Drosophila melanogaster: one gene and its partners. The protein of the gene in region 2 interacts with the protein of the main gene of each other region in a biochemical or structural test. Each region holds a gene or a part of one and is shown on either strand. Other genes may lie near its edges. The genes, in order: N, Su(H) and Kdm5.

Region 1 (9,818 bases), on a different chromosome or scaffold from region 2:
ATTATATACATTATGACAAAACAAAAAGCCTGTGTAGTTAGTTGGAACTAAAAAAAAAAACAAAAATAATAATAATATAAAAGCAAACGAAAATGAAAAGTAAAGCAGCAGCAGCAGAAAGCAAAAACAATTTTCTAAGCCAAAATTTATCAAATTTTTTAGACTTAATTACGTATACATCAAACGAAACCAACTGAATGCAGTGAGAGAAAATATTTAGATTAAGTGCTGTGCTGCATCTGTGACCCGGTCAAGAAGAGCCAAAAGTAACATATATAACTATTATTTTGCACACAAACAAACAAAATTGAAATTGAATTGAAAACTATATTTTTACGGGATGCTACAGTATTATTGCAATTTAATCGATAATCCCCAAGCCGCAAAAAACTAAAAACAAAAAGATGTCCAAATATTGGTGATTTACGAGTAAAGTGAATAAAATTAGAAAAACCACCAACATATATATATATATATATATATATAGTTCCCACTTTCCAACTTTTTGATCGGGTTTTCAGTGGCACAGCATTTCAGCATCCATGTGAAAAGTTGAATATTTTTTTGTCTAGCCCTAAGCGCGTAAATGATATTTGAACTTAAATCAATTATGTAAAGAAGCAAATGAAATATTGTATATCGTATATATATATATATATATATATATATAGAGCATAAATGTGTATGTCAACGCTTGAATTAAAAAATGACTAGCTAAGATTAGAGAGAATGTTTGTAATTTTTTTTTTTTGTCTGCCTAGTTTAGGTTTAAGCCTATTTATAGACGTAAATGAAGAATTTTAAAGGTAAAAAGAAAAACTTAAAAAGCTTAGAAACAATTTGTAAAACATTTGAGCGATCTACCAAAAAAAAAAAAAACGCAATTAAGTGTAAAGCGTTCAATTTTTAACACGAAATGCTGCCTTATGATTCCTCGTTGGGTTCTTAATTCACTAAGCCAATACTGTAATTAATTAACTAATTTATTGTTTCATATTTTATTTTTTGTTTCTTTCGAGAATATACATATGTATGTATTTATCTAAAGTAATTCTGAAAATGCTTAAAAATAATGCCCGTTCGTTTAAACTGATTTATACACTCGAATCTAATTCTATTCTTTCCGTGGGCCAATTGCGCCGAGCTTTTTAACTGGGATAGCGTTCCGAAAATCGGAGATAAGTATGGTGTTACATATTTTTTTTTGTTTTCGATAATTGTCAAACGATTCAATTAAGCGTTCAATTATATAGACGTTACACACGAAACGAAATGAAATTCAAATGAAATCCTATTAAGCCAAGTAAAGTATGATAATTGCAGGAAGCGGAGTTGCGAAAAAAAAAGGTACGGAAAATGAAAACTAAGAACGTATTGCGGGAAAACCTAACTTAAGTCGAGAACAACTCAAATTAGTTGAAATAAAGATACGAGAACAAAAGGAAAATAAAATACTTAAAAAATGCTACAAGTGCGTTTTTCAATCAAATTTATGCACATTTTTTTCCAGTGCCTACGAATTTTACATTGTCGAATTTTACATTATACATAGCGTAATTTCTACGAATCTTACATTGTCGAATTTTACATTTTACATAGCGTAATTTCTACATACCGCTATGACGGCACTAAAGCGCCATTCGGCGAAATGGGGAAACTACTCATGCAAGCGGCTCGGAGCCCGGCTAACGTTATTTGTTCACCAACCGATCTCGCAACGCTGCGAAAGAGCGCGCTGCCAAAATGGCTCCCCGCCATACGGTATCTTTTTCTTGCACCGACGCGGTCACACTGCCGATTTGAAACAGATCGCTTTTTTCCAGTGGACGAAACGGTTGTGAAAGCGGACGAGCGTTAGGCAGACGAACCTGGAAAGCGCAGAGCACAGTTCTCAACATTTATTTTTTTTTTGAATGTGTGTGCAACAACGCACGTAAAATCGCGCTGCCAACAGGATATACAAACAAATCAATTACACAGCAAGCAAATGCAATGAAATGAAAAGGATGGCCCCAGCGGGAAAGCCGTTCAGCAAGAGCAAGGAGTGCCTGTCGCAGGGATAGCAACGAGAGAGCGACACAGAGAGCGAGAGAGAGAGAGGGAGAGAAACAAGGATTTTCGAAAAGTGTATCTACCTCGAGTCGCGCGTGTGTGAGAGTGAGACGAAAGCCGAGTGCAAGAAGCGCAAGAGGAAGAGAGCAATACGCAAGCGTGCGGCGTCGGTTTGAATTTGAATTTGTGGCTCGATCCTCGCGAAGAGAAAAGCAAGCAAAAGATACACGAAAAGCGTTCTTTTTTTGCCACTTTTTTTTTATGTTTCAAAACGGAAAATGTCGCCGTCGTCGGGAGAGTGCCTCCTCTTAGTTTATCAAATAAAGCTTTAAAGTCTGAAGTTCAAAACTATAAAAAACAAAAAAAAAAACAAAAAAACAACAAACGCGCTAAAACAAAAAATTGCTTAAACTACTGAGACTAGCATACTAAACCTAAACTCGCAGTTAAACATATCCTCAAAGAGAGACCAAAGAGGAGCGCTAAAGAAACCGAGAAGCGAGTAGAGGTGAAAAACTGGAAAAGTGGTTAACTGGAAAACTGGATTACAATGCAATCGCAGCGCAGCCGACGTCGCAGTCGCGCACCAAACACTTGGATTTGTTTTTGGATTAACAAAATGCACGCCGTTGCGTCGCTGCCGGCGTCGCTGCCTCTGCTGCTGTTGACGCTGGCGTTTGCGAATTTGCCAAACACCGTTCGCGGAACTGGTGAGTAAAGCGGAGACGCCGATCAGAACAACTAGGCGGGGGGAGGGCAGGGTGACAGGCGGGGTCGCCCGAAAATAGGGTGGGTGCACAAACTGGAATTCCAGGAGGCTCAAAACGTTCCAAAACGCTTGCCAAAGAACGGTTTTTTACAGAACCAAAACTATGAGATAAGATGATCTTGTATAGCTGAAAGATGTGGATCTCAACTAATAGTACTGAATCGCATAATTGTTTGGTCTTAGATGTCAGTTTTAAATGGAGCATACTTAGTATGAAACAACTAAAATTGCAATTACAAAATATACATACATTTGCATTGGACTAGTTCCGCTTAAACCCGTTGGATAGATCGCTACATTGCATAGCTAGGAAATGTTGGTCTATAAAATCGGATGCATTCGCAACACATATAAGTGACTGAGCAAACCCATGCAACTGTAATCCAAAAAGGAAGTGATGCTACTTAATCTGCTTAATAAGCCTATAGGATTGTTGCAAATCCTACCTTAAAGAATTTCACTTTAAACGCAATCGTCGGAATCCGCTCCCAAATGCGTTCTCTGTGTTTCTCCATTCCCTTTTCGATCCTCTTCGTTTGTCTCCCTTTTGGGCAGCTCCTCTTCGCTCTTCGCCTTCCTTTTCATGGCTTGTATTCACCGCGCTTCCTTTTGCGCTGTCTTCCTTGGCTTCGCTTTGTTGTCGCTTTTCGGACAGGTGGTCGTTTTTTTTTCCTCTCTCTTTCTCTCTCTCTCTCTCCTTGTTGTCTCGCTGATCTCGTTCTCGCTCTCGCTCGATCGCTGTCGCTGTCTCGCTCTCCGCCGACTGCGCATGCTCTCTCAGATTTGGAAACCCACCTTTTCGAAACAAGAAAGACCGTTTTTACCGTCGGCAAAAGGCGAGTTTTTCCATTCCCCTAGCACTCTAGGCACTCTTTCCTTTGTGTTTTCTCACTGCGCTATTTGCTCGCTAGTAGTGAGTGGCCAACTTCCTTTCCAGCTTTGGAAGCGAACTCTCCTCCTCCACACGCTGTGTTGTGCCGCATGCACATGGGGCTTACTTGGGTATTTGCATATGGAGCGGTCGTTGTCTAATCACTGAACAAACACCGAATCGTATCGGATCGGATCGGATCGGTTGTAGGTGTACTTAGGGTCGATTGCCCCAGTAAAATGTCAACTTTCCATGGAACTCGAAATCTCTTCGACGGAATTCTCGGCTCAACGATGAGAAAGTATGGGGAATGCAGCTCGATATCATAGTATTTTGAAACAAATTTGATAATGTCAGAGAATTTTTTGTTGTTTCATTATTCGAAAATCTATCGAAATCCATCAATCCATCAAACGTTTAAAAGCAATTAAATGATCATTACTAGAAATTTGATCCCTGAGCACTGGGCAACTTTATTATTACGCACTCCATGATCTCTGCTATTTTTTTTATATTTTTTAACAGCTGCAACCGAAGAGCGTTGAACTATTATGTTTATAACTTTTACCTGGGCATTTCCTGAGCTCGAGTTTCCGCCTCCTAAACTCTTTTTTTTTCTGGCTTTATTAGCCATGGGTAATCGTGTGATCTTTGCAGTTTTAGCCAAAGGAAGTTGTAGTAAAAGTTAAATAAACGGTATAAAAAAGTATACAAATGCATATGCATATAAAGGTGAAAAAAATGCTGAAAGTAGTAATAATAAGAGTGTTAATTGATGCCAGGATATATTGCAAAAACAAAAAGGGCATCCTTTGCATTCAGTTCACTTCATTCTACTACTGCGCTAAGAAAAAAGTGTTCGAAGATGGAAAAAAAAAACCAAAAAAAAAAACAAAAATCTCTCGAATCTTCATGTACATTTTTGTACCTATTAAGTTCTCACAAATTTACGCCCCATTAGCTCCAATCCAAGTTTGTTCAACTTTGTGCGATCGAACGCCTGCATTTAGCCACAAATTTAGGGTATTATTTTTTTGCAGGTTTAATGTGGCACGTAACGGTTTCGAGAAACGAGAACCAGAACCAACCACCGCATTCGATTTCATCATATATGTACACAACCAGGCGCATATAGAAAGAATGTAGTTGGAATAAACGACAGCTGGGCTCCTGGAGCCAAAAGTGAAACAGCAGCAGGAGAAGCAGGAGCAGCAGGAGCAACCCCTGAGTCCTGGCATATTGCACATGCGCGTCCTTTTTGCTGTTTGTTCAAAGATCAAATTACGATATGCTATGGCATGGCATCGCACGGCATGGTGTTGTTGTTTGTATCGTGAGCGAGAAGGGAAATGAGCGGGCATAGAGTAGAGATACTTTTGTATCTGCGCGCTCTCTCGGCTATTTCCTGTATATCCTGTGCGCACCCCAAAAACCAAAGAAGTAAAAACCGAAAACACATTTCTTGACTTTCGTAAGTCACGCACACGGCGGATCCCTAATTAGCCCTCGCCTAGACTTCAAGTCAATATAAATATACTACATAAAGTACTATATATGCATGTACATATATACGTAAGTATGTATGTAGCTCTGGCGCATGAAGTCGGCATGTATGGCGATGCATAACCAACATGCCCATGGTTATGGATCGTAAAGTGTGCACTTTATGGTCGGAATGGATCATCCACATAAAGTTGCAACCAAATTTAATGGAAATAAAAATTTAAGAGGGGAAAATGGAGGGAGGGCACTTAAATTGAAGGATCAACTAGAGATGAGGGTAGCAATACCTAGATTTATGTTCTTAAAAAGGAAGAGTACATGAAGTCAAAACTAGGCAACATTAAGTAAATACCATAAATACCATACACTATACATTTGAATAAATAATGCATTAAATGATCATTAAAAGATGTGAGAAGCAATTGGTAAGAATGCTTCAGTTAGTGAGTAAAACCAAGGTAGTCATTAATAACCAACTCAAATTGAATTCGAATCTCAATACCTCAATTCCATCAATATAAATAACTTTGTACTGTATGTCTGAGATGCATTTATAACACCTAAAGCAAAAAACCAGGCCAATTCCCACGAATGCAAACCCATTTCCAAGGACGCGGCACTTAAAAACGCAGATTATTGTGAAAGTCTCTCATATTTGGGCGTCTCAATTAATTTGAGACAACCACTTATCGACCATTTACTGTCGCATTTATTAATTAATCGACGCCGCCGACGATGGCCAACAGGGACAAAAAAAAAAAACCAGGAGTATCACTTGAAAATATAACTTTCCCATCAGTAACTTAAGAAGACTTAATTAAAAAACGGTACTCGTATATGAAATCGGCTAATTTCTCAAGTGTTAAATCTGCTGTTACTCCTTGCCTTTCGCTTGGCCAAAATAAAAAAAAAAACAAAACCTGTAAGTGATAAAGTAAACTTCAAAAAAAAAAATAAAAAAGAAAACAAAGTAAAGCAGAAGATGTCGAGGAATCTTGTTGCCTGGTCACTTGATATGGCATTGGTGGATATGCGGCAGAGCAGTTCCGTTCCGTTTCGTTCCAGACGATACCGATGCTCGATGCTCGATCCTGTTTTTCGGGACACACCTTTGGAAACCAGAATTGGCAAGGCTCTTCAGGTAGAATTTCATTTGGCAATGTGCAATGTCTTCTTCTCGGTAATCTTTGCTCTCCGGAAATCCACAATGTTTTTGCGCTCTGTCTTGGCTGATATTTGTTATTTGTTCCCATAGTCATTGCATAAACATGAAAATCATTTTCCCAGCCCATCTCTCTCTCTCTCTCTCTCTTTCTCTCTAGTTTATATATGTTGACAACTACTTTCCAAGTTTTGTCTTGGGAAAATGCCTCAAATGGCCAACGAATGAATTGAGGTTTTCTTCTCTACAGATATGTATGTACTGTTTTGCTGGCCAAACTAATTATGAAAACAGTCCTCACATGTGTCGGCTGCAATTAAATCCGTTTAGAAAAATCCATGGATTGTATGGATTCTAAATCTCAGCTCGTCTTGGCTTGGCTCGAACTGACTTAACTTGACTTGGCTCTCTACACTACACTCTACACTGCTCTTCTCTTCTCGGCTTTTATTGACTTTTAATGATGGCCAGGCGAATTAGTGCGCCCTGACTTACTCTTTCTGCCATGGCCAGTTTAATGAGTTTTCTTTATGGCCAACACATGTACATTTTCGAGTCGGTAGATACAGGTACTCACACACAGATAGTATTCGAGTCAAGATACAAGATACACACAAACAGAGACGACGAACGCACTGACCGAACAAGTTTTTAGTTTTTTTTTTTTTTTCCTTCTGTTTTCTTGGGTTTTCTTGGCTGGTCTCTTTGGTCTTCTCTCCTTTGTGTGGCTTGTTCTTGAAGTATCTGAGTGGTACAACAAAACAAAAAAAAAGGCTGACAACCTCAGAAGAACCCCTCCTTTCGACCCAGCCCCGCCCCTTCGCCCCCGCCCCTGCCCCCTTCTAAGAAACACACACCAACAGCAATTTTTATAGATATTACCCAAAGTGTCTTGTTTGGTTTGGTTTTGGCTTTGGGTTTTGGCTTTGGTTTCTCTTCTTCGTTTTTGGCCCGGTCTCTTTTTGTCTTCCAGGCTTTTGGGCTTTTAGGCTGCGCCCCTGCCACGCCCCCTAGAAATCCCCCTATGTTGCCCATGCGATTTACTCCGATACTCTTATACAGACAGATCTCTCATATGGTCGGTCTTTGAAAAGTGGAAAAGCGGTAGAAAAATATCGATCTTAATAATAGTAAATATGAAAATATAATAAAAAAAACTTAATTTTCCTCAATACTTTCTCGTGTATTATTGTTATAAGAATATAAAACTTGAAAATATTTTATAATTATATCAGTACCTTAATAACAATAAGAATAATTCAAAAATAATTTGAAAATTGCTGTTGTATGCTAAGTCGAATGAAATTTCGTTTCGATGCCCTGGTCTCTGTCATTAAAGAAATTTACGATTTCCTGGGCAAACGCAATCAGTTGGCATAGAAAAACTTCATGTTCTTGGCCAGGCCGACTCTGGCCTATCCCTTTCTCGTTCTATTGCTCGTTATATAGCCGTCTCTTTTCCGTCTTCTATCCTGTTTTTTGGAGGAGGCAATGAAAAATGACAATCATCATTATATACACTTGAGCGGATCGACGACAGTCGCCGATCGTGTGCTCGTCGTCTTCTCAAGTTGAAACTGAAATTGCTACGACTTTGTCGTCTCTTCCTACTTCTCCGCCGACATCTCCTTGTCTTTTTCAGTCTCCGTCTCCATCTTTATATTTTTCTCTTCACATGCGTGTTTGAGAATCATCTGGGGGAGAGGGAGAATAGAGATCGGTCCAAGCTCAAGTGAGTGGTTTGACTTTAAGAGATGCATAGATACTTTGGCTTGCATAATAATAATAATAATAATAGTAATGATCGCTGGTCGAAGGAAGAAGCCATGCAGAAAGATACGGGACGATATGATGGCGAATGATACTCTTTCATGGTGGTCTTGGGAGTCTTAGAATCATTACAGATACCCTCACTCAAAACATAAGCAAAGATAAAAGAATTAATTGCAAATTTGACAGATATGGGTTATATAACTATAAATTGGAAAACTATTATTGCTCACGTACAGCTAAAGGTTAGATACATTCTAAAGGTAACTGGATACCCTGATAGATCCTTAAGATAAATAAAAGGCCCCTTTGAAACTGCAGGATACACAAACACTGAGATAAACACATGCTTCAAGCTGCCACTTGAAAATGTATCTCAAATTTCAAGCGTCTGACACTCGCTGGCTCTATAAAGTACTTAAGATGAGAATCTTGAAGGAAATATGTAAGAAGGATGTCTCTGTTTTGGCTTGCGATTCCCAAACGAACGATTTGAAGTTTTAACTATAAATATAAGATAACTAAGTTTCGATTTTAGGTACATATGTACATATCTGGAATTTAAAGTCCAGTTTTTTTATGGCTGCATGATTGTTAGCAACTGCGTTCCACTTCATCTGAACGCTCACTTAGCATTGATTAGTAGCCATATCTCGCGGATGCATCTTTCTCTTTGACTTTTTCCCTTAGTGCTGGCAACCTGCGCGACATTTGCATAAGGCCATTTGCTAGGGCGCCAGAAGAACCGGCGTTCCTTCGTTGACAAATTAGCAGAGGTGGAAAGTAAATATGAATTGAAGACTCTGGCCTTTTTTTTTTCTTTCTTTCATCCATTTCAGTTTTGTCGTTTTCGGAACTTTAACTAAACATTCACACGCTGCTTTGTTGTCTGCCGGAAGTGTTAAATGCTTCAGTTTATTTAAAGTACATATAGACAAGAGGAGTAAAAGAGAGAGAGGAGACTCCATACAATATCACTCATATGCCATTATTTTTATGGATTTCCGAGCAACAACCCTTTTTGTTTGTGCGCCTGCGCGGCCTTTTTTCAGTTTGGCGCGCATTTCCTTCAGCCTCGACCTCTTGAACTCCAGCTCTTGCTCTCTCACTCTCTCCCTCTTCTCTTCTCTCTGCTCTCTCCCTCTCTGCACGCATTTTATATGTTTTTGCCCCGGCGAGGGCGGATTTTGTCAAAGTGTCGCATATGTTTTCAAGTGCACTTCAATTACCAAAAATACAAGAAAAAAAAAACCATATACTTATGTACATGCATATAGATTACTTACAACTGCAGCTGTGTGTCCTTCCTTTCCGGAGGGCTGTTTATCACTCATCCTCCCTGCCAAAACGTTTTCCAACCCCCCCTCTTATCATGCACTCAATTACATCGTCGGGTAGGTCAATTATTCCCATAATATTATCTTTCATTTGGCTAAGCATTATGCTAATCATCCGAGCTTCTCGTGTGGGAAAATAAAGTGCGAGTCGTCGTGGAAAACCGGCGGGGGAAAACGGAGTGATGATCATCAAGTGGAAACAGCGCTCAACTGTGAAAAGTTTTGCGTCTTGTAAATGGGTTTTTTTTCTACTTACCACACTTAGTTTCATTATCAAAGACAATTTCAATGTTAACAATGAAGTTCATAATATATTCTATTAGGTTATATTATAAACAATCCTGCTAAACAATC
Region 2 (11,173 bases):
TAGCGCGCTCAACTCGAACTGAACGGAGGTCCAAAAAAAAAGAAACGAGCAATCCAAAAAAAATCGAATAATTGAAAAATCCAAAATGAACCCACTAGGAATGTTGAGCCTGGGCTTAATGGTGTGCCTTATCGGCGCCTTCAGCCGGATTGCATCGGCCAAGCTGGAGGAGAAGTTCTCGTGGAAGCAACTGGCCTTCGATTGGCCCACTCCGGAGGCCGAGGCGGAGGCCAAGTCGAATGGCCACTACATCGTGGAGAACAACCTGCCGCTGGGCGTGGAGCGTTGGCAAAACAGAATCTTTGTCACTGTGCCAAGGTAAGTAACCAAATTCATAGACAAAAAAAAAAGAGACAACAAACTTACGGTAAGCTGTAGTTAGGTTTTCTTTTTTTTTCTTATTATTTACCTTTTTTGTTGGCTTGGTTTGTAATTAAATGTCAAGCTAGACTTGCAAAATCATCGAGCGTCAGGAGGGGAAACCGGTTTCCTCGCTGGCTAGTTAACTTTATCATTTTTTACCCCATTTGTGTATGTCTATTTTGCATTTTAAATCGTGGTTTCTAAATGCAAATCGTAACATGAGGTTAATTATAAATTAATAAGAGAAAACACATGATCGGAAAATTCTATGGAATATTATGGATCCCATAAAAGGCTAACTAGGTAACTAGTAAACAAAGTCTTTGTGACGTCACCTTTTTGGGATTTACCACCGATGCGCTTATTGGCCAAAAAGCCCCGAAAACCATTCTGCTTTTCGGGAGATATGAGTAATCAAAACAAAATTCGATTTAAAAACATTTCGAAAAATAAGATACGTAAAAAAAGTATATTTTGTTGATAATACAGCATAATTATTTAAGCTATAGTTGCCGTCAAAGTTTTAACTGATAGTGCTAAGATATAAATTAAAACTATAGCTTATATTAGACTATATCCAATCAGTCATAATAATTGCGCAGGTGAATGGTACTTTTTAATGTTATTAATTTGTTACTTGCCAGTGTCAGGTTTAAATGTAATTAGTAACTAAACAAGTCTGAAATGTAAATTTTTTAGTTAATTTATTTCTCCTCATTATTAAATGATCTACTTTCCCTTTAGATGGAAGGCTGGTGTTGCTGCCACACTCAACTACATCGACATTAATTCGACGGAGAAGTCGCCAAAGCTGCATCCGTATCCCAGTTGGGAGGCCAACAAGCTGCCCATCGATGTGCAGCCACAGGACCAAAAGACACCATCCGGTGGACGTCTGGACGCGGACAAGGCTCAAGATGCCGGCATCCAGCTGAAGGACAACTCCACTGTCATTTCCACCTTCCGAATTCAAGTCGACGTATGCGATCGCCTGTGGGTGCTCGATACTGGCTTGGCCGACATCCTGGGCAGTCCCAAGCAGATTACGCCCAATTCAATCCTGGTTTTCGACTTGAAAACAGATACTTTACTGCGCCGTTTCACCATTCCCGCTGATCAGACCAAAGAGGACTCGTTCTTTGCGAATATTGTGAGTATGCATAGGCGTATTATTTAAATTCCAAACTGATCGAATTAATCAATATTTAGGTTGTGGATGCGGACCGCTCGGAGTGCCAAGATGCCTTTGCTTACATTCCGGATTTGGGTGCCTACGGTGTGATTGTGTACTCCCTGAGGAACGACAAATCCTACCGCGTCAAGCACAACTTCTTCCACTTCGATCCTCTGCATGGTGATTTCAATGTGGGCGGCGTGAACTTCCAGTGGACGGATGGCGTTTTTGGGCTGGCCGTGGGCCCAATGAATCCAGATCACTCCAAGGACATTTATTTCCATGCCCTGGCCAGTACCAAGGAGTTCAAGGTTTCGAACCGCGTGCTGCAAAACGAATCACACGTGACCGCTGGCGATTCGTATTACGATTTTAAATACGTTGGTGACCGTGGCATGAATGGCCAGTCCACCGCCGAGGTCTTTGACCCCGAGACCGGCGTCATCTTCTATACGCAGGTGAACAAAGACGCCATTGCTTGTTGGAACATCAAGCGTCCATACACTCCGGACACCCAGGGGCTAATCGATTCCGATTCGCACACTCTGGTCTTTCCAAATGACATGAAAATCGACAATGAAGGCACTATTTGGGTGCTGTCCGACAAGATGCCGACATATTTGTACAAGGAACTCGATCCCTCGGCCGTCAACTATCGTATTTTGATGGGCCAGAACCGCGATCTCATCAAGGGTACACCATGCGAAATGTGATCACTTGGATATTTAAATCTACATGCTGTGTTTATGACGCGGTGCATTTTTGTATTTACATTATGACATTATTGTTTGTTAGTAAGTCAGCTTAATAAACTATTTGAAATGTGATTGATTGGGTATACCATGGTGAGCCTAAGTTAAATGTCGGATTTCAGGAGGTTGTCGGCCAGTTGCACCTTCTCACCGGGCTTAAAGGCGGGCATGCCCAAATAGGGGCAAGTGGAGCAGCGGAAGGCGTCGCCGAGATAACACTGTGCATATAAGAAATCAGTTATAATCGAGGTTAATGCTAACTCACATCGGGGTTAAGAGAACTCACATTTCCACAGCTTGACTTGGCATTCTCGGTGGCCTTCTGGCTCTGTTTTTCAGTCTCCAATTCCTCGGCCAGCCCGCAGGAGCAGTTTTTGCACGCCTTGCGCTTGCCCGTGGTGCTACAGACACGCAGACCAGCCGGATCCGGCTTCTGTTTGTCTTCCTCGTCCAGCAGCTCCTCCTCATCGATCAGTTCCTCATCGTCACCGCTTATCTTCCACACATTGACTGCACTGGCGTTCTTCTTTGCGAATGACAACCTGGCTGAGGATCCTGTCTCGTAGCCAGGCTTCTCGGCGGTCAAAGCATCTGGAGAGTCCTCGCGACAGTTTATGAATCCGGATAGCTTGATCTCCTGCAGCAAACTAGCCGCCGGACCGATGTAGGACACCAAATGCAGTTTGCCACTCGGTTTCAGCATGTGCAGCAGTTTTACGTAACTGTCGGTCAGCTGGGCGCACTCGATCACAATCAGGTCGAAACTGGAGTTGGCATAGGAAGCTGTAATGCATAAACATCACTGATTTTAATCTGCTGACTCACTGGCTAGTCAAAAACAGCACACACACACCGCACCGCACGCAACTTACAAAACGAAAGGCGGTGCACATTTTCCAAAGCCACATCGCCGCCAGTGGCCGCCTTTAGTTGCTCCACGCGCTTGTCCAAGTCGGCGCTGTCCGTCCATATGTATAGGGATTTTTGTAGACCCTTAAAGTTCTCCATTGTGGATGTGTTTCTAGAATATCTCAAAAGTTCAAGCACCGAACGGAACCGATTTTTGATTTCACAAGTTAGATATGGCAATGCACCGAAAATCGAGCGGTGATATCGATTGTACCTGCCTATCGGATTGCAAATGATATTCAGTGATTGTAGATTTTTCCACTTTACACTGTGACTGCTAAAATATATGAATAACTAAGTGTACTCCACCAGATTCGTTTTTTAATGAGTTACAGCTTACATTCTGATACATAATTAACAGCTTTTAGTTGCATATTGTGTGTTTCTGCCACTAAACCTATTTAAACGGTTACATTTAAGCCTAAAGTCGCGAATTATCTTTTAAATTCACCCATGTGTACTTTCCCACGGCCCGTTTTAAAAATGCATGGACAGTTAGACAAGAAGGTTGGTAGTTTGTACCTTGAATTTTAAATGTGGGCGCTCAAAATCGAAGTGTTCAATGAAAATCGATACCTTTCGCATCAGTTAAAAGTATTTATAGATATAAGAAATAATATCTTTAACAGTGATGTGATGGGAATAAATATACAAATGTATTCAGAAACTGCAAAGTTAAAACAAAATATATTAGCTACTCCAAATTGGCTATAAAATAACCAAATGCCCACTGCCATCCAAATCCAACCAACAGTGCTGTGAAGCGACAAACATATCGCCGGTAGGCAGCGACTATCATAAATAAGCGCCTATCGGACTATCGATACAACATCAACATCCTCAGTCGCTTTTTTAGTTGTAGCATATTATAAATATAACTCGAGCGCTAGTTGCAGCCTTAAACAGAAGCCAGCCGCCACTACCGCTAGTCGCTAGTCAAGATCTGCTCGAAACGCTGAAATATGTGTGATTAGTCGTGAATCGCAGCTAGCCGCAAATCCAGCTTGAGCTACAACAACAAAGCCAATCCGCGGTTAAGAGGAAGAGAGTGCGTGAGAGAAACGACAGCTGCTCTGCGTGTGTGTTTGTGCAGCAGGATAACAAAATAGAAAACATACAGCAGCAACAACAACAACAAAAACAGCACCAGCGAACAGTGTATAAAGTGCCAAACGAATTTGCCAAATAGCCAAAAACGAAATAATAGAAAAGATCCAAACAAAATTCCAATAAGTTCAATGCAAGGAGACATGTGCATAAATGAAGAGCTACAGCCAATTTAATTTAAACGCCGCCGCCCCGCCCGCCATTGCCTACGAAACTACGGTTGTAAATCCCAACGGCTCACCCCTCGATCCTCACCAGCAGCAGCAACAACAGAGCCAGGATATGCCGCACTTTGGACTGCCCGGTCCGCAGCCGCCGTCGTCGCAGCAGCAGCAACAACAATTGCAAGTGCACCACCAACAGCAGCAGCAGCAGCAACAACAACAACAACAACAGCAGCATCAACAACAAATGCAGATGTCCTTGCTGCCGGGTCCTTACCGGCCACACATCGAGGAGAAGAAGCTCACGCGGGACGCCATGGAGAAGTACATGCGCGAGCGCAACGACATGGTCATCGTTATCCTGCACGCCAAGGTACGAAAGGATTTCCACTTTTAAGCCGGTATTATCAGGTGCTTGGTCTGGATTTAGTATTCAAGATATTCTAAAACATACAAGGGAACTCCTGAGTCTTAAGTCTTAATTAAATTATTTGAAGCTTGAAATACATTATTTCAATATTACTAAAAATATATTAACCCAAACTGGAGAAACGTAGGATATCCTAACTTTCATTTAAATTAGAAACTTGGTCAGTTTTGTACGTCGATTTCCTAAATTATTCGATTTTTTAGATTAAATAGATTAAATTCAGATTTTCTTTCTATTTCAAGTTTAACGATGTATCCTTTCTTTGAAAATTACTTGTATGCTTTACAAGATATTTATTTTTTTTTTATAATTTAGTTTTAATCTAATCGGTCAGTCCGCAACGCCAAAACCACACCCACTATTTAAAGGTGCTAGTGTTTCCATTGTCCACTTTAAAGTGTTACATTTTTGCGGTTTTTGGCGAACGCAGACATGAAAATGGAATAAAATTGTCGCGGTTGCTTTTAGCGGTGGCGATCTTCAAGCGACGACTGCCGCCAAATGGGAATCCTTCACACTCGACTGCCCGCAAATTGAGCAACGCGAGCGCGGTCCAGTCCGCAATGAAAATAATTGAAATTAATTACAGAAAATTAACAAAGCTGCATTGCTTGCGGTTTTGATATGATTTTCCGATAATCTGGACGGCAATTTGTACTAATTGAATTTTCCCTGCACCATCGTGCGCCTCTGTCTGTCTGTCTGTGTGAATTCCAGGTGGCCCAAAAGTCCTATGGCAATGAGAAGCGATTCTTTTGCCCACCGCCGTGCATTTATCTGTTCGGAAGTGGCTGGCGCCGGCGGTACGAGGAGATGTTGCAGCAGGGCGAGGGCGAACAGGGAGCACAACTATGCGCGTTCATCGGTATCGGGAGCAGTGACCAGGATATGCAGCAGCTGGATCTCAATGGCAAGCAGTACTGTGCGGCCAAGACGCTCTTCATCTCGGACTCGGACAAGCGAAAACACTTTATGCTGTCGGTGAAGATGTTTTACGGAAACGGTCATGACATTGGCGTTTTTAACTCGAAACGGATCAAGGTTATATCCAAGCCGTCCAAAAAGAAACAGTCGCTAAAGAATGCCGATCTGTGCATAGCCAGCGGCACCAATGTAGCCCTGTTCAATCGCCTGCGTTCCCAGACTGTCTCCACCCGTTACCTTCACGTGGAGAACGGACACTTTCATGCGTCGTCAACACAATGGGGAGCTTTTACGATACACCTGCTGGATGACAATGAGTCCGAGTCGGAGGAGTTTCAGGTGCGCGATGGTTACATTCATTACGGAGCCACAGTCAAACTGGTGTGCTCCGTAACGGGCATGGCCCTGCCACGTCTGATCATCCGGAAGGTAGACAAGCAGATGGCCCTGCTGGAAGCCGACGATCCCGTTTCTCAGCTGCACAAATGCGCCTTCTACATGAAGGATACGGATCGGATGTATCTCTGTTTGTCGCAGGAGAAAATCATACAGTTCCAGGCCACGCCGTGCCCCAAGGAGCCGAACAAGGAGATGATCAATGACGGCGCCTGCTGGACCATCATATCCACCGACAAGGCTGAGTACCAGTTCTACGAGGGCATGGGTCCTGTGGCGTAAGTATAGCTTACTTACAACTCAATGGATTAGTTTTCATTTCGTGTTTTCTTCCAGTTCTCCAGTCACTCCAGTGCCAATCGTTAATTCCCTTAATCTCAATGGCGGCGGGGATGTGGCCATGCTAGAGCTGAGTGGCGACAACTTTACGCCGCATCTGCAGGTGTGGTTTGGCGATGTGGAGGCGGAAACCATGTACCGCTGCACAGAGACATTGCTATGCGTGGTGCCGGAGATTTCACAATTTCGAGGCGAATGGCTTTGGGTAGGTTTTCCAATGTAAATCTGTTTAATACGCGCTATAAATTTTACTTTTAATGGTCCTTGCAGGTACGTCAGCCCACGCAGGTGCCCATTTCGCTGGTGCGCAACGATGGAATAATTTATGCCACCGGTCTGACCTTCACGTATACACCTGAACCAGGTCCTCGGCCGCACTGCAATACACAGGCCGAGGATGTGATGCGAGCGCGACAGAACAATAACAATAATAACATCACTAGCATTAGCAACAATAATAACAGCAACAATGCGGGATCGCCGGCAGCCGGCGGTGGCTTGCAACAACAACAGCAGCAGCATCAGGCTCTGCCCTCCATCTCAGAAGTGCAATGGAATAGTCATGGTAGCGGCTTATCCTGAGTGCAGGATTATTGCATCGCACACATATGTATCCTAAGTTATTTATAGTTTTTATCGAAGACCTTAGTTTGTAGATTGACAATTTTTCTCATACTAATTTTCAACCCCTCGTGACGTAAACCAAAATGTGTCCCCTTCTCTCTAAAGTGAATCATACTTTACACATGTATCTAGTGCTAGTTCGGAACCAATAGAATTGTAAATGACACATAAAACTCTGTACATAACTCGAAAAGCTCACTGACATACATACATACATTTGTATGTGCATGAATATACCTTTACACAAAACATGTAATTCTAGTTAAATATACAATTGATGTAAGTTTATAGACGATTTTTAGATGCGGTTGAAATATTTATGATTTTCTTTGCTATGAATTTCCAAAGATCTAAATGAAAAAAAAAAATACTGCGAAATGCATCGGAAATTTTTATTATACACAAGCCAGTAGCCACGCTACAAAAACATTCCATTTCCCTCTTTAGCTTTCTAAAAAGTCGAAGACAAAGTCAAAAAGGGAAAAATTTGTTTCTGTACATACAGTTTTGTTGCATTTTTTTATTAACTTTGGAAATTCGTAGCATTAAAAATCCCAATAAAATATTTTGTAAAATAAAATCGCAACAAGACAAAACAGCGATTTATTTAAGTGTAAGCGAAATGCCTAACATAAATAAAAAAAAGAAATCCCAAATGATGACAAAGAATAATCAAATCATGTCAGCTTATGTTTTTGGTTTAGCGTGATTCTTCTGGTTCACCATTTTTCCTGTGGCCTAAGGTGGAGCGCTGGGGAGGATTGGTTGCCTTAAATTGCTGTGGGAATATTACCCAGTATCGTGTGAATATTTTTAAACAAAACAAGTGCAGCTCTTCCCACGATGGTTTGCCTCAACCCCCTCGGACGGGCCGACTTTAATTATAGTTTGGTCTGGAATTGCTGAACGCGAAGCTAAGAAGCAAATATACATAGATATATAACACTATTGTTTCCGTTTTGGCCAAGTTAAGGAGCAGAATATTCTCACAGCCCAAAAAGCCGCTGCCGAGCTGCTGTGAGAATTTTTACTGCCTTTGTTGAATATTTATGCATTCGTTGCTGCTGCTGTCTTTACAGATTTACAAATTAAGATTCGCAGTTTTGAATTAATTATCGCTCACTTCCGCTCGACGGAATCAGAAGGTGAGCGCTGGCCAAGCATTTAATCTCATCTTGCACTTGGGAGACATATTTCTTATCAGAGTCAGCCAATAGGAACTTGGCTGCAACCCCTAAGATTTTACTGCACCGGGCGATGGGAACGAAAGACTTAAACAACGAACTTTGGTTGCGTGAGGAATCAAACTACTGGCGGCCGCCTGTGTTCATTATGATGGAAAAACCACCACCAAAAGTTCTGGCTCTGGCAATTGGAACTGCAACCTCTTAAGGTCGTCGCCGTCTTATAAGAAGCTGAATATGAAATTAGTTTGGAATTTTTAATGAACAATTCCTTCACATTTCCCCAGGCCCTCTTTCTCCACCACTGTTTGGATAGGCGAGTGCGATGATTGTGGTCGTTTTTAGAAAGGGGGAGACAGCAATTTCTAAAAGTTCTCAGGACTGCTACACAACCTCATACCGTCTACTAAAAAAGTTCATTATCTTGAAAAATCTAAGTCTACCTGCCGTCGTCTTTAGTCTTTAGCTTGCCGTGCCGACTGCTGCCGTTTTTCACACGCTGGGGAAAAATGGAAATTCTCGCAAAATACAATGCGTGGGAAATCGGTGGCGTGGGAGTCAGGCAAGAAAATCAAGGGAAACTATATAATCCAGTCCTATAAAAATTTGTATTCACAAGACTTTGGACACGTACTCCCTTCCATGCGCGGTAAATCCAAAGCCGTAGGTCAAGATTGGTAAATCGATGGCAAAATCGATCGGATTTTCAAAGTTTATAGGGGTCGGTCGTAACCGTTACTTCAACTTGTTTAGTTCCATTGTTGTTACTTAACAAAGATATTTATATAAGACTAATTATTTTATTTATTAATGACTTTAATGAACTATTAACACTTGTGCTTACACAGCATTTTTTGTCTAAAATAGATTGGTTTGTTCTATACGAACCCATTTTCAAGACTTGTCACAAGCATTTGTTCAAGTTAAGTGTTATTAAGTGTCCAAAGTTCGTTTGTTTGTTTCTAAACGAAATGAACTTAAGACATTTAACTACGTGTTTGCACGTTTGTTTGTGTCCGAAGTATAATTTTCTAACCGTTGATCGAAATGAAATTTGCATTAATCCAGGTCAATGAGATGACCTTACCTTCCATCCGATTCTATTAAAAAGACCACATAATTTGTATATAATTTATTAAATAATTGAACATTTCTATGTATTTGATACAAAACGTCATCAGTACAGATATGCAGTTAGGATATACAAAGATATAGATGCAATATGTGTAGATACAAATGCTTATCTAAAAATATGTAAGACCTTTTCTTCATACAAAAACATTGTATTTAATAATTTAACCGGAATGTGCCATAAGAATACCTAAACGTGTAATTGCAAAAATTTATACAAATACAAATACTAAAAACAAAAGTTGCAAGTTGGTTTGGTATAATCGATAGCTGAACAAGACCAAAATTGGAATGAATTCTCTGGGAAGGGAATGCAATTGGAATAAAGGGAGGTGGGTATTAAGTATGATTTAAATCTATAAAGTACTAGGCTTTTATAAGTTATTGCAATTGTAATTTATAATTATTATAAATATTTTGCGTTATGTGTAGGTTTTACTAGTTGGCTCGAATGGTTCGATTTTTGTTCATATTGGTCAACATCAACGAGATATATGAAGTCAGCAGATCGTCCATCTTGTAGCCCAGCGACGTTTCACATAACAATTTCGAGCCCCTAACCAGATTTCCGATGGTCATGTGGAAATATGTATTGCCCGATGACCAATTCGAGATGCGTGTAAATGGATGCGTAACCAAAATGTCCTGAAGTTTTAAAATGTATCATGTTCTTGGTTTATATTGTAATAGATTTATATAGTTTATAGTTCTCACCTTGGTCACTGGATGTATGAGACTCACGCCGTGTTTGTTAATGGCTATCAATAGCATTTCGGGATAATTCGGTTCGGTGGTTTGCTTCACCTCAAAGAAAGCGGAGCCAAAAGTTGGCCATCTGTTCAAATATATTAGAAAGGTAGTTAAAAAAAAAGTCTATAAATATGATTACGTTGAGATACCCACCTATATACAATCTTCAAGAAGGCCACCTTCGCGTCTTCGGAAGTCATGCCCCCATCCTGGTTATAAGATGCAACAATCGATCGTTTCCATTCGCTAGTGCTCTGTATTTTCATAATATCCGATGGAATAAGTTCCCTCAGCATTTGTCTGAAAAGTAGTTTTTCGTTATTTATGTTGTTCTCGATCTTAATTGAATGATCTGTACTTACGGTATGGCCTGCAGTTCTTGTTTATTTTCACCAAAGCGCACACGGAAGACTAGAGCGGCCAGCTTAGCCGCCTCCTCCCTGGAACACTTGTGATAGCCACGCAACAGCTTGGGCAACTCCTGATGATAGTGGAATATAAGATCGGCATTCCGATCCTTGCCTGGCACTGTGTTCGTCCACAGTTTCTTCATGAAGAAGACCTGGTAAGTGAACTGCGGATTCGCTCCATCTCGTATGGGACGCGCTTTTTTAATCCAGTCGGTCAAATGGCGTACGAAATCGAAGAAGAAATCACCTTCGGGAACAGAGATGACCTTATCCGCGATCTTTACAAACAGGGAGAAGCCCTCGCTGGTGCGCAGCGAAAGGCGCTGCGAGATGTTGTTGCAGAAATCCTTCGCTCGAGTGGAGCTGTCCACTTCGAAGGCCTCGTCTGTGTCGTCCGGGAAGTAGACCTTGTGGAAGATCTGTGTGGTTTTATGCTGTATGGCTTCCACCTCCACCTGATGCGGCGGATATTTGCGTTGTCCATGGCGTATAGTTTTCTGTAGTCGATGCATTGAG
Region 3 (9,592 bases), 9.0 Mb from region 2:
CCTTATATGTGCCCAACGAGATACTGAAAGTGGGTGAAAACTCTCTGGTGATCCTTGAGTACCAACGAGCGAATAAGACAGCAACTGGCGAGGATCTACCTGCAGTGCAGTTCGACGCAGTTGCTCAGCTGGACGGAGAGTCTGGTGATGTTCCACTTAAATGATGAGCCTTGTATGCATTGTTATTCCGTATTTCTTTATTAGAAGCGTTTTTGATTGATACTTGTGTCAACAACCTTCGTTAAGCTTTATTATAAATTTTCTAACTCTTATAAATCTATGTTTATATACGCCTTAATAAATGCTGTTGATCTGTGCTTGACTGACTCTTATCGATCTCCAGCTTATTTTCAATTGACTTTTTTTCGTTACCATTATAGCAGAATGTTAACTTTTTTGCTTTTACACATTATTAATCGTACTATGTTCGTGATTTTATTGGCTTAGTAATTTAACATTGCACATGAAAATTTGGCCAGATGTTTATATGGAAAACTCTAAAGAGGATATACACCCAATAGCTGCCATAAAGTTAACTTTTTACATATCCAAAAAGTGTATTAGCTGCCACATCTGGCCAATTGCTCAGTTGCAAGTGTACATACAAGATTTTTGGGCATATTTTGTATCATTAATAACATTCTATGTACTTATGGTTTTTAAGGTAAAAGCATTTTATTATAACTATCGTCTTTTTGAGCATTGCAGCAATGTAGGCGTTGAGTTTCGACTTCTATTCACGTTTAATATTGAACAGCAATAAAAGTATGAACTGTTTTATAAATACAAGTTTGCAGACTGAGTTCTTAAAGTTTAAGACAGTTTAGGAAAACGTTTGGATACTGTTAGTTGAATTAGTTATCGTTTTAAACTGACTAAGATTGGCAAATTCTTTAGTTATCCAATTGTCAGTTAATTGGACCTTTCAGCTATTTGGTGAACACAAAAACGTAATACTCTGTTCGGGGCAGTGTTGTTTATAATCTCCATTGCTTTTGATTAGAATGTTTGCGAAATAGTATAAATAATACTAACATTGGAGTTTTCCAATACTACGTCTCTTTGCAATATAGATTTAAAAAGGTACAAGAGCGAATCAATGTTTTCCTTGTGAATCATGTTACAAGTGCGATATCAAGCAGTTAAACCAGCAATTGGCTTACTTTTTACTCAATTATAATTGCGTGTTGCAAAAATATATTCATATGCTGTAAAGCTTACCATTTGTTGTGCATAAATTTAGTTCAAGCTCATTAATATTAATATGCAAGTGGTATTGCTTTCTTCCATTTTACGATCTGTGATATTGACATTTGTCACAGAACTGTGTTTTTTGTTTCTCGCTTATAAAAATAACTATTATTTTGAAGACAAATATGTGTTGTGCTAGGTTGTATTTGTTCAGTTTAGGAATGAGATTCGTGGTGTGATCATTCGATTTGTTGGAAATTGTTGCATTTAATTTCGATTTCTCTATACTTTTCTTTAAAAATATATCACAGCTGCATTTCAAGATAAATTTTTCATTTTTCCTATGACTCCTTTTTCACTTTCTTTGTAAAATGTGTAGAAAATCTATTTAAAATGTTTTGCTCTTCTTTTTCTTATTTGTTCTTGGGCTAAAGGGAAGCCGACGTAAAAACAGCAACAAATTTGGCAACCTAGTTAATATTAGTCAATGTCCACGAAGACGGAATGCGTTTGCTTTAGTTAGACACATAGCGTACTCTTGAGTATAAATGGGGGTATGGGTTAAACTGGGTCGATTTTATGGACGCAAAAAATAGATAAATCGTGGGAGAGAAACCTAATCAATGAACATTTTATGCCAATATCAATATACAACGTGTGTCCCGAAAATCAGGGTTTACCATAGGCATTTGTGTTTTCTGATCAAAAGCGAAGGGTGAATCGTAATTTCCGGAACATAGTTACTTTGGCAATAGCATTAGGAATTGATCATTGACTAGATTCTATCAACGATTATCGTGCATCCAAATCGATTCACCCTAGTATGGGTTTACAAGGAATTTATAGTATAGTTAACTAACCGGAGCGTAGATGAGTAGATACAGATTCTTATTTTGAAGTTGGTGGATGCTCCATGTGGCTTACCTCGAAGTTTCCCAAATCCTTCGCCACCTTGGGTGTCCTTCTAAATGGCCGTGGGAGCAGACAGAGCCATTTGTCAGTGCCACTTTGACTTTTGAGTGTAGATATCGGCACGCAGGTTCTGAGCAAAGCAAATGCCCAAGATCTACAAAAAGTGTATCGTTACAAGAAGAATCTATCTATTGTCATAGTGAGAAAAATAATAAAATCAAACAGAAACCTGAAAAAACATCACAACTATAACAGTTGCGGAAATAATAATCAAGTTGTGCTCCATCCATTCTTCGCCTGCTTGAACACAGCCCTTTTCGTAGATTATTTTGGACAACTCCATGCCCTGGTAAGAAATTAAAAAAATAAAATAAATATAAAGTCTGTGGGAAATTATAAAACAAAAAGATGTAACTACTACGAGTAAAAACCATATTTTTAAAAAAAATGGGACCACCTTAAAAACGATTCTCTCATCTGAACTACACTAAACTTAAAATTTTCAAAGATTCAAAAAGAAATATACAACGACGACTATAGAAATGTTTTGCACCTGCAGGACGAGCAGAGCCACGCAGCCAATCGCCACACTAATCAGATGGGCCTCCAGCCAATCCTCGCCAGCGCGCAAGCAGCCACGCTCATGTATATTCCTATCCACCGGCTGCATGCGTACGATTCGTGGGTGAATTTCAATATGCATTTCGGAAAGACGGGGGAAAACAGCTAGCGGACTTACATATCCCTCCTTGCGTACATCGTAGCCGCATTGCTTGTTCTTGATCACCTCCTGCGGACGTCTGCGGCAGCAGGAGAATGGCACTCCGCACGCCTCCCTGCTGCCAATAGCGATAGACGAGCAATTGAAGTAGTTGTTGCTGTCCCAGTCCTTGGGACCATCAATGCCGCAACACTGCAACCAATCCTCCTGGATCCAATCAATGAGATTCTGCTGGTCTGCGTCCTCGCGATAGTGGCGAATGAAGGCCTTGAGTCCCTCGGTGGCCTGGTCTTTGATCTGGAAAAGGCAAACCTTAGTAATGGCTGGCTAGAATAGTGGCCTTCAAATGGAACTCACCCAGCCCTTGTCCTTGAGCACGAAGGCCACGGCACAGAAGCCGATCTCTGCGATAAGCAAGACACTCAAGAAGATGGCGTACTGCAAGCGGAAAAATAAGGATTAACTAGGTCCAGAGGGGATCCACTAACAATGTGGTACCCACCGCCCCCAGGAGGCAGGTGTTCTCGCGCAAGGCGCCCACGCTGCCCATGAAGCCCAGTAGGAAGGTGACGCCTCCCAGGATGATCAGGACGAAGGCCGGGTCCAGGGCGATGAAGTGCAGCCGCGCAATGTTGCGGAACATGCCCTTCTCGCTCCAGGCCCAGATGCCAACGGAGAGGACCAGCAGGGCCGAGAGCCACAGGATCACATTGCTGGCGAACAAAAGGTACTTCAGACAGCAGCTGATTTCACTGGTCTCGCGGCGGAACTTGCGCACAGCAGCTGGCATTGCTCCAATTTTAACAATAATAAATATGGCCAAAAGGAAACAAAAACGTATGAAATTCTGCTCGCCAGTGTGACCGTGACTGCACTTTTTTTATCACGCAGTGCGACGGCTCCAAATACGTTGCAAAGAATACCGTTTCCCAAGAAAACCGCCATTTTGTTCAATCTTACGAACTTTAAAACTTGGATGTTTGTTTTTTTTTTATTGATCTTGCATAAACAATGTATTTTACAGAAACCAGTTTGCGTATTTATTTCATTTTCTGCTGATTTGTTGAGTTGAGCAACAACAATTTCATAGGCATTACCGTTAACTAAATACTTATGTCTACTGGTTATTTTAAATATATTATACAAATTCAAATTCTTAAAGCCAAGGCTTAAATTAACACACAGTATTCTAAAAACAATAAAAGAGCTCACTTACTTATATTAATAACTTAGAATATAATTCACTCTTGTAGAATGCCAAACTTTCTTTTTTTAGCTTACCACTGTATTGAAACACATTTCATAAAATTAATTAAAAAAGCGTACTTAGGAAACCTTGCGTATATGCTCGATGGATCCTATGGATGTTTCAAGTCCTGTCCCTGAACCGGCATAGTGTTAAACGCGGCGCCGGCTAGACTGAGTAACGCCTATGACCGAACTGATTTTGAATCTAATACAGAAACGAAACAATAAACGGGGGGTCGGCGATAAGACGAGATCCGATTCGTCGACCTCCGCCGATAAGAAACTGTGTTTGATTTGAAGGCCAGTGCTGCACAACGCGGACGGTGGCTGGTATTTTCCCGAACTTTTGTGGGGCAGATCGACGTTTCCGGCACTTCGACGACGGGTCACACTGGACACATGTAGCAGGAAAAAACGCAGACATCGGAGAAAGAAATCAGAAAAGTAAATTCGCATTAAAGCCACCTCGCCAGTGCCGTGCTCGGTGGTTTTATGGAACACTCATTTCGATCACATACCGAGCGTGCGCGTCTTCCAACGACTTCCTATGACGACAGTGAGTTTTTGCCCAGTGTAGGGTGCCCAGTTCCCAGTGCCCGAACCCAGTGCGATTGTGTGCGTGCCAGTGTGTGAGTTTAGGGGCACTTCTGATGGCTGAAAACGTTTAATTAGCAGCGAAAAGCGAACAAACTAGCAAAACGCAGACGCCCACCTGGCCAAGTCGGTGCATATAGATCAGGAAAAGTGCGGATTGCAGCCTCTGCGTTGGCCAACAGCGAAAACAACCCCCCGCACTAGTCGTGGAAAATGTTTGTATGTGTGTTCCCTCTGCTGGCAGCGCAATCGGGATTCCGAAAATCCGTAATAATTGTGAAAATGCGGCCAGAAGACAACGCCAGGTCGCGGCTAGGTTAGGAACCACGTCGCGGATGAACGGATTACGGTGGAAAACCGCGGACGGAAAATCGCGCACCAATTGCACACGCCAGCAGAGCAGCGACAGCGCTGCAAAGTGCGTTGCGTCGCTGCCCGGTCGCCATCATAGCGAAAAATATTGTGATCCCACGCCTGGAAAGCCAATATATGCCACTGAGTTTAGTGACTTTCAAGTATATAGTGAATATATAGCTCCAGTCGAGCTGTTCGCGGGGAGTTACTATTCGAAAAGTACAGTGCTGCAGTCACCTTCCAAAAAAAAAAATCAGTTCAGCTTTTCTGTTTCCGCTCACCGCCACTCCCCCCACCGTTGGAAATGTGCAATATGGCAGGGCAAATGCGTAAATTTTGCGCTCCTGCTGGAAAGTAACCAATATCCAGTGCTAATTTCGCCAAATCCATCCATATTTATGTACATGCTCGGTGCGAATGTGTGTGCCTGTATTCGCGTACCTGTGTCTGTCGTGCCCCGTGTCCGTGTAAGCTGTTTGTTTGTGCCCGTGTAAGCTGCGTGCGGGTGTGTGTGCGCGGCTGAAAATGGAAATTATATAAAAGAAGCTTTCGGCTTAGGCTGCTTTTCCGAGCGATCGGCGGCCGCAGAACGGAAAATCAGTTTCCCCCGTCCAACACTAACAGCGAACAGCTGGCTGCAGTTTGGAAAATGGCACTTGTCACGACGCCGTGCTGCCCAATCAATAATCCGAAATCGCAATCCACCGATTTTGATTTGGAACGGATTCGCAGGGAAATAATATCCCATTATCCCGAGCAGAGCAGCAAACGTAGCATGCCTCTGCCGGCGTCGCTGTCGACGATGTACTTTGCTCACTTGATACACAAAAACGGTACTCGTCGTCGCTCATCTCGCTCTCTCTAGGCGAGAGCGGGCTCTTCCTGATCAAGCACACGGGAAACTATACACACACACACATACGCACGCACCGCCAGTCAGTCAGGCAGGCACACATTGCCCACCCACTTCTACTCCCTTTTCGGTGGTGGCAGCAGTGGCAGTGGCGCCCCACATTCGTGCGAGAGTGTGTGTGCGTCACAACAACCACCAAAGCAAAGCTCTGTCGCGGCGGCTTCCTTGTGTCTAGCTGACAAACGCGAAAAATCTGTTGGGAACTCCAGCCGGAAGTTGGAGTTGACAGTGGTTTTCAACATGGCTTCGTTTCCGCTTCTCGATTTCGTCAGCTGAATTCGTAGATAACAGCTTTCACCTTTTGCTCAGTGTATGTGCTTGTGTTAGTGTGTGTGTGTGTGTGCATGAAGGTCCTGTGTGCTGAATGTTTTGAATACAATGCGTATAAGTATAATCCCCTTTTGCACACTTGGTGTATACATGTTCGCTATCGAATTTGTAAGTTTATTGGTCGCTATGTTATACATACACACGGCCAGGAAATCCCCCGTGTTCGTGTCCGGGGTTGTGCCTGTATTGGCGTGCTCCACTTTTGTATGCAACAAATTCAGTGCTGCTGGCTAATCGCCGCTGCACTCTCTCTCTCTCTCTCTATTACTCCTCGGGAGAAGCCACATCCCCCTGGAGGGAAACATGCGAGAAAGGCATTACTTCGCCTAGGTCCAGTGCAGTTGCCCATCCTGCGATCCCGCCGGCGGCACTGGATACAACCTCACAACCGAAGTAATCGTTTGGTAACTGCACTTGCACCGTCGCAAAGTCGAGTTTTCACCTCTGTAAATGTTGTTTGTTTACCTGCGAGGGTTGAGTGCAGGCACCACAACACATATACACACACACACAGGTGTGCGGCGATTTGATGTAGATACAGTGGGCCGCAGGGGTTCCCTCTCCGATCAATAGGAGCGGTAGGAAAGTCCAACTAAGACGACAGTTCTCTTGTGGATATTAACCAATTTAAATCTGTCGACGGGGCAACGAATCGTTAATTAATGCAAGGGGCGCGGGGCGGGAGTGTGTGTATCTGAAAAGCCACCATAATAGCTCTACCAACAACAAGTAACCCCTAGTTGTTGAAATATTTATATATATACATATATAAACTGCAGTAACTACAATTATTATTGAGTTATTGCAAACAAACCTTAGATAAACTTTCATTGGCTTAAAAGTCAAATTTAAATAACGTTGTAATTAGGGAGAATTTAATTGGTATATTATGCCGTTTAAAGTAGAATAAACAAACTGCCAATAAGCCGTTTCTTACTAGCAACTTTAGGTAATGAGTACTGTAGTTGAAGCTGAAATACAAAGTAGCTAAACTGCCAAGAAGTGTGTCTGCCACAATAATTAAATAACCGGGACAGGTCTTTCAACCCTAATAACGAAAACAACCTTTCCGGAGCGAATTTAATATTACCAAGTTGTGAACTCATCCGTAACTTTTATTCTCTATTTCAGAACCGAGCGGAATAAATTTAATCTGAACTCATCTTAAAGCTATGTCCGCCAAAACTGAGGCGGACAACACGACGGCCGCCAACTCCGGCGGCGGAGGAGTCGGGAGCGGCACCTCATCCGGCGGGGGCGCATCCGCGAATGGAACAGCAACTCCGGCACGTCGTCTGCGTACCCGAAACTCAACGGGCAACGGGACTAATAGTGGAAGTGAGTCCGTAAAGAAATCCAATGCTAACGACGAGCCCTCGACCCCAGTCACCCCGGCAGGAGCAACAGGATCTCACACCCATGCTCCGCCAGGCATTTCTCCGGCGGTAATGGAACGGCCTATGCCCAGTGTTCCCATGAATCACGCCAGCAGCAGTGTGTCAGCCAGCAAAAAGTACCATAATAGTTGTCCTCATCCCACGCCCACGCCTGCGCCCACTGGGCACAAGAAGTCGGTCCACACGCAGCCGCACAGCAGCAACAAGTTTGACCAGGGAAAGAACGAGGAGTTCCACTTTGACACGCCGCCAGAGTGCCCTGTGTTCCGGCCCACAACTGAGGAGTTCAAGAATCCACTGGCCTACATCAGCAAGATCCGCTCCATAGCTGAGAAGTGTGGAATCGCAAAGATCCTGCCGCCGGCAACCTGGTCGCCGCCGTTTGCAGTGGACGTGGACAAGCTACGCTTTGTGCCACGTGTCCAGCGGCTGAATGAGCTCGAGGCAAAGACGCGCGTCAAACTCAACTTCCTTGATCAGATCGCAAAGTTCTGGGAGCTGCAAGGCTCTTCACTAAAGATCCCAATGGTGGAGCGAAAGGCTCTCGACTTGTACACACTGCACCGCATCGTTCAGGAGGAGGGGGGCATGGAGCAAACCACAAAGGATCGCAAGTGGGCCAAGGTGGCCAACCGGATGCAGTACCCCTCAAGCAAAAGTGTTGGCGCAACCCTGAAGGCACACTACGAACGCATCTTGCACCCCTTTGAGGTATACACTTCGGGAAAGGTTCTAGGACCCACACCAACGTCGTCTGGATCTGGTAGCACACCCGTCAAATTGGAGGACGGAGGTGGAACCGATTACAAAGCCCATGAAATTCCCACACGGCAGCAGATTGCGCCGCCCAACGAGACAAACACACGTCGCTCCAAGCGTTTCGGAAATTCCAATGCCAGCTGCGGCCTGAGTGGTGTTACACCCACAACAAAGCCATCAGCGGGCGTATTTGTCAAGACGGAGACCAAGGAAGAATTTAAGAGGGATCTTCTCAGCAGTTTCAATGCTGTCAACAGCGGCGGATCGCCATTAGCCACAGGTACTACGGCAAACACTCGCGGAGCCAGCCAGAAGAAGGGAGGAGAGCCTCCAGCACTTATCGTAGACCCACTGATGAAGTACATTTGCCACATCTGCAATCGCGGCGACGTCGAGGAGTCAATGCTGCTTTGCGATGGCTGCGACGACAGCTACCACACCTTTTGCCTGTTGCCGCCTCTGACCAGCATACCCAAAGGTAAAATTCTTATCAAAAAGTTTCTAACAAAAAAACCGTTTTAAAACTTAAAACAACTCAATTTTACATTACGTCGATTAGGAAGTTACAACCGTGTCTCATGCACTAATGCGAATAAACCTTTTCTTTTTAATCGTTCTAGGCGAATGGCTTTGCCCGCGCTGCGTCGTCGAGGAAGTAAGCAAACCGCAGGAGGCGTTTGGTTTTGAACAGGCAGAGAGGGAATACACTCTGCAACAATTTGGACAAATGGCTGACCAGTTCAAGCAAGAATACTTCCGCAAGCCGGTGCACTTGGTGCCCACTGAGATGGTGGAGCGCGAGTTTTGGCGCATCGTGTCATCTATCGATGAAGACGTTACCGTTGAGTATGGGGCGGACTTGCACACAATGGATCACGGCTCTGGTTTTCCCACTAAGAGCTCGTTATATTTGTTGCCGGGCGACCAAGAGTATGCAGAGTCAAGCTGGAACCTTAACAACTTGCCGTTGCTGGAGGATTCCATTCTTGGTCACATCAATGCCGACATTAGCGGCATGAACGCTCCGTGGATGTATGTGGGCATGTGCTTCGCAGCCTTCTGCTGGCACAACGAGGACCACTGGAGCTACTCCATCAACTATCTTCACTGGGGAGAACCTAAAACCTGGTACGGTGTTCCGGGGTCCTGTGCTGAGCAGTTTGAAGAGACCAT

What was found.
Region 1: the proteins of Su(H) (region 2) and N form a complex in vitro, tested with the Drosophila melanogaster proteins (4 studies listed by BioGRID).
Region 3: the proteins of Su(H) (region 2) and Kdm5 form a complex in vitro, tested with the Drosophila melanogaster proteins (one study listed by BioGRID).

The regions. Positions count from the first base shown.
Region 1 is NC_004354.4:3,133,066-3,142,883, forward strand, and holds the start of N (notch), read left to right. Parts: upstream 1-1,804; 5' UTR 1,805-2,602; coding exon 2,603-2,762; intron 2,763-9,818. UniProt on the Drosophila melanogaster protein: Essential signaling protein which has a major role in many developmental processes. Functions as a receptor for membrane-bound ligands Delta and Serrate to regulate cell-fate determination.
Region 2 is NT_033779.5:15,035,479-15,046,651, forward strand, and holds Su(H) (suppressor of hairless), read left to right. Parts: upstream 1-4,009; 5' UTR 4,010-4,458; coding exon 4,459-4,842; intron 4,843-5,616; coding exon 5,617-6,497; intron 6,498-6,555; coding exon 6,556-6,763; intron 6,764-6,828; coding exon 6,829-7,140; 3' UTR 7,141-7,856; downstream 7,857-11,173. Other genes in the region: yellow-c, read left to right, coding at 86-318, 1,108-1,513, 1,573-2,250; CIAPIN1 (cytokine induced apoptosis inhibitor 1), read right to left, coding at 2,394-2,507, 2,576-3,072, 3,162-3,297; ck (crinkled), read right to left, coding at 9,936-10,142, 10,212-10,332, 10,401-10,547, 10,610-11,173. UniProt on the Drosophila melanogaster protein: Transcriptional regulator that plays a central role in Notch signaling, a signaling pathway involved in cell-cell communication that regulates a broad spectrum of cell-fate determinations.
Region 3 is NT_033779.5:5,994,334-6,003,925, reverse strand, and holds the start of Kdm5 (lysine demethylase 5), read left to right. Parts: upstream 1-4,424; 5' UTR 4,425-4,628; intron 4,629-6,161; exon of another isoform or gene 6,162-6,243; intron 6,244-7,140; exon of another isoform or gene 7,141-7,212; intron 7,213-7,394; 5' UTR 7,395-7,435; coding exon 7,436-8,897; intron 8,898-9,039; coding exon 9,040-9,592. Other genes in the region: Gal (beta galactosidase), read left to right, coding at 1-164; Tsp26A (tetraspanin 26A), read right to left, coding at 2,189-2,257, 2,333-2,449, 2,657-2,767, 2,843-3,121, 3,182-3,262, 3,327-3,614. UniProt on the Drosophila melanogaster protein: Histone demethylase that specifically demethylates 'Lys-4' of histone H3, thereby playing a central role in histone code. Does not demethylate histone H3 'Lys-9', H3 'Lys-27', H3 'Lys-36', H3 'Lys-79' or H4 'Lys-20'.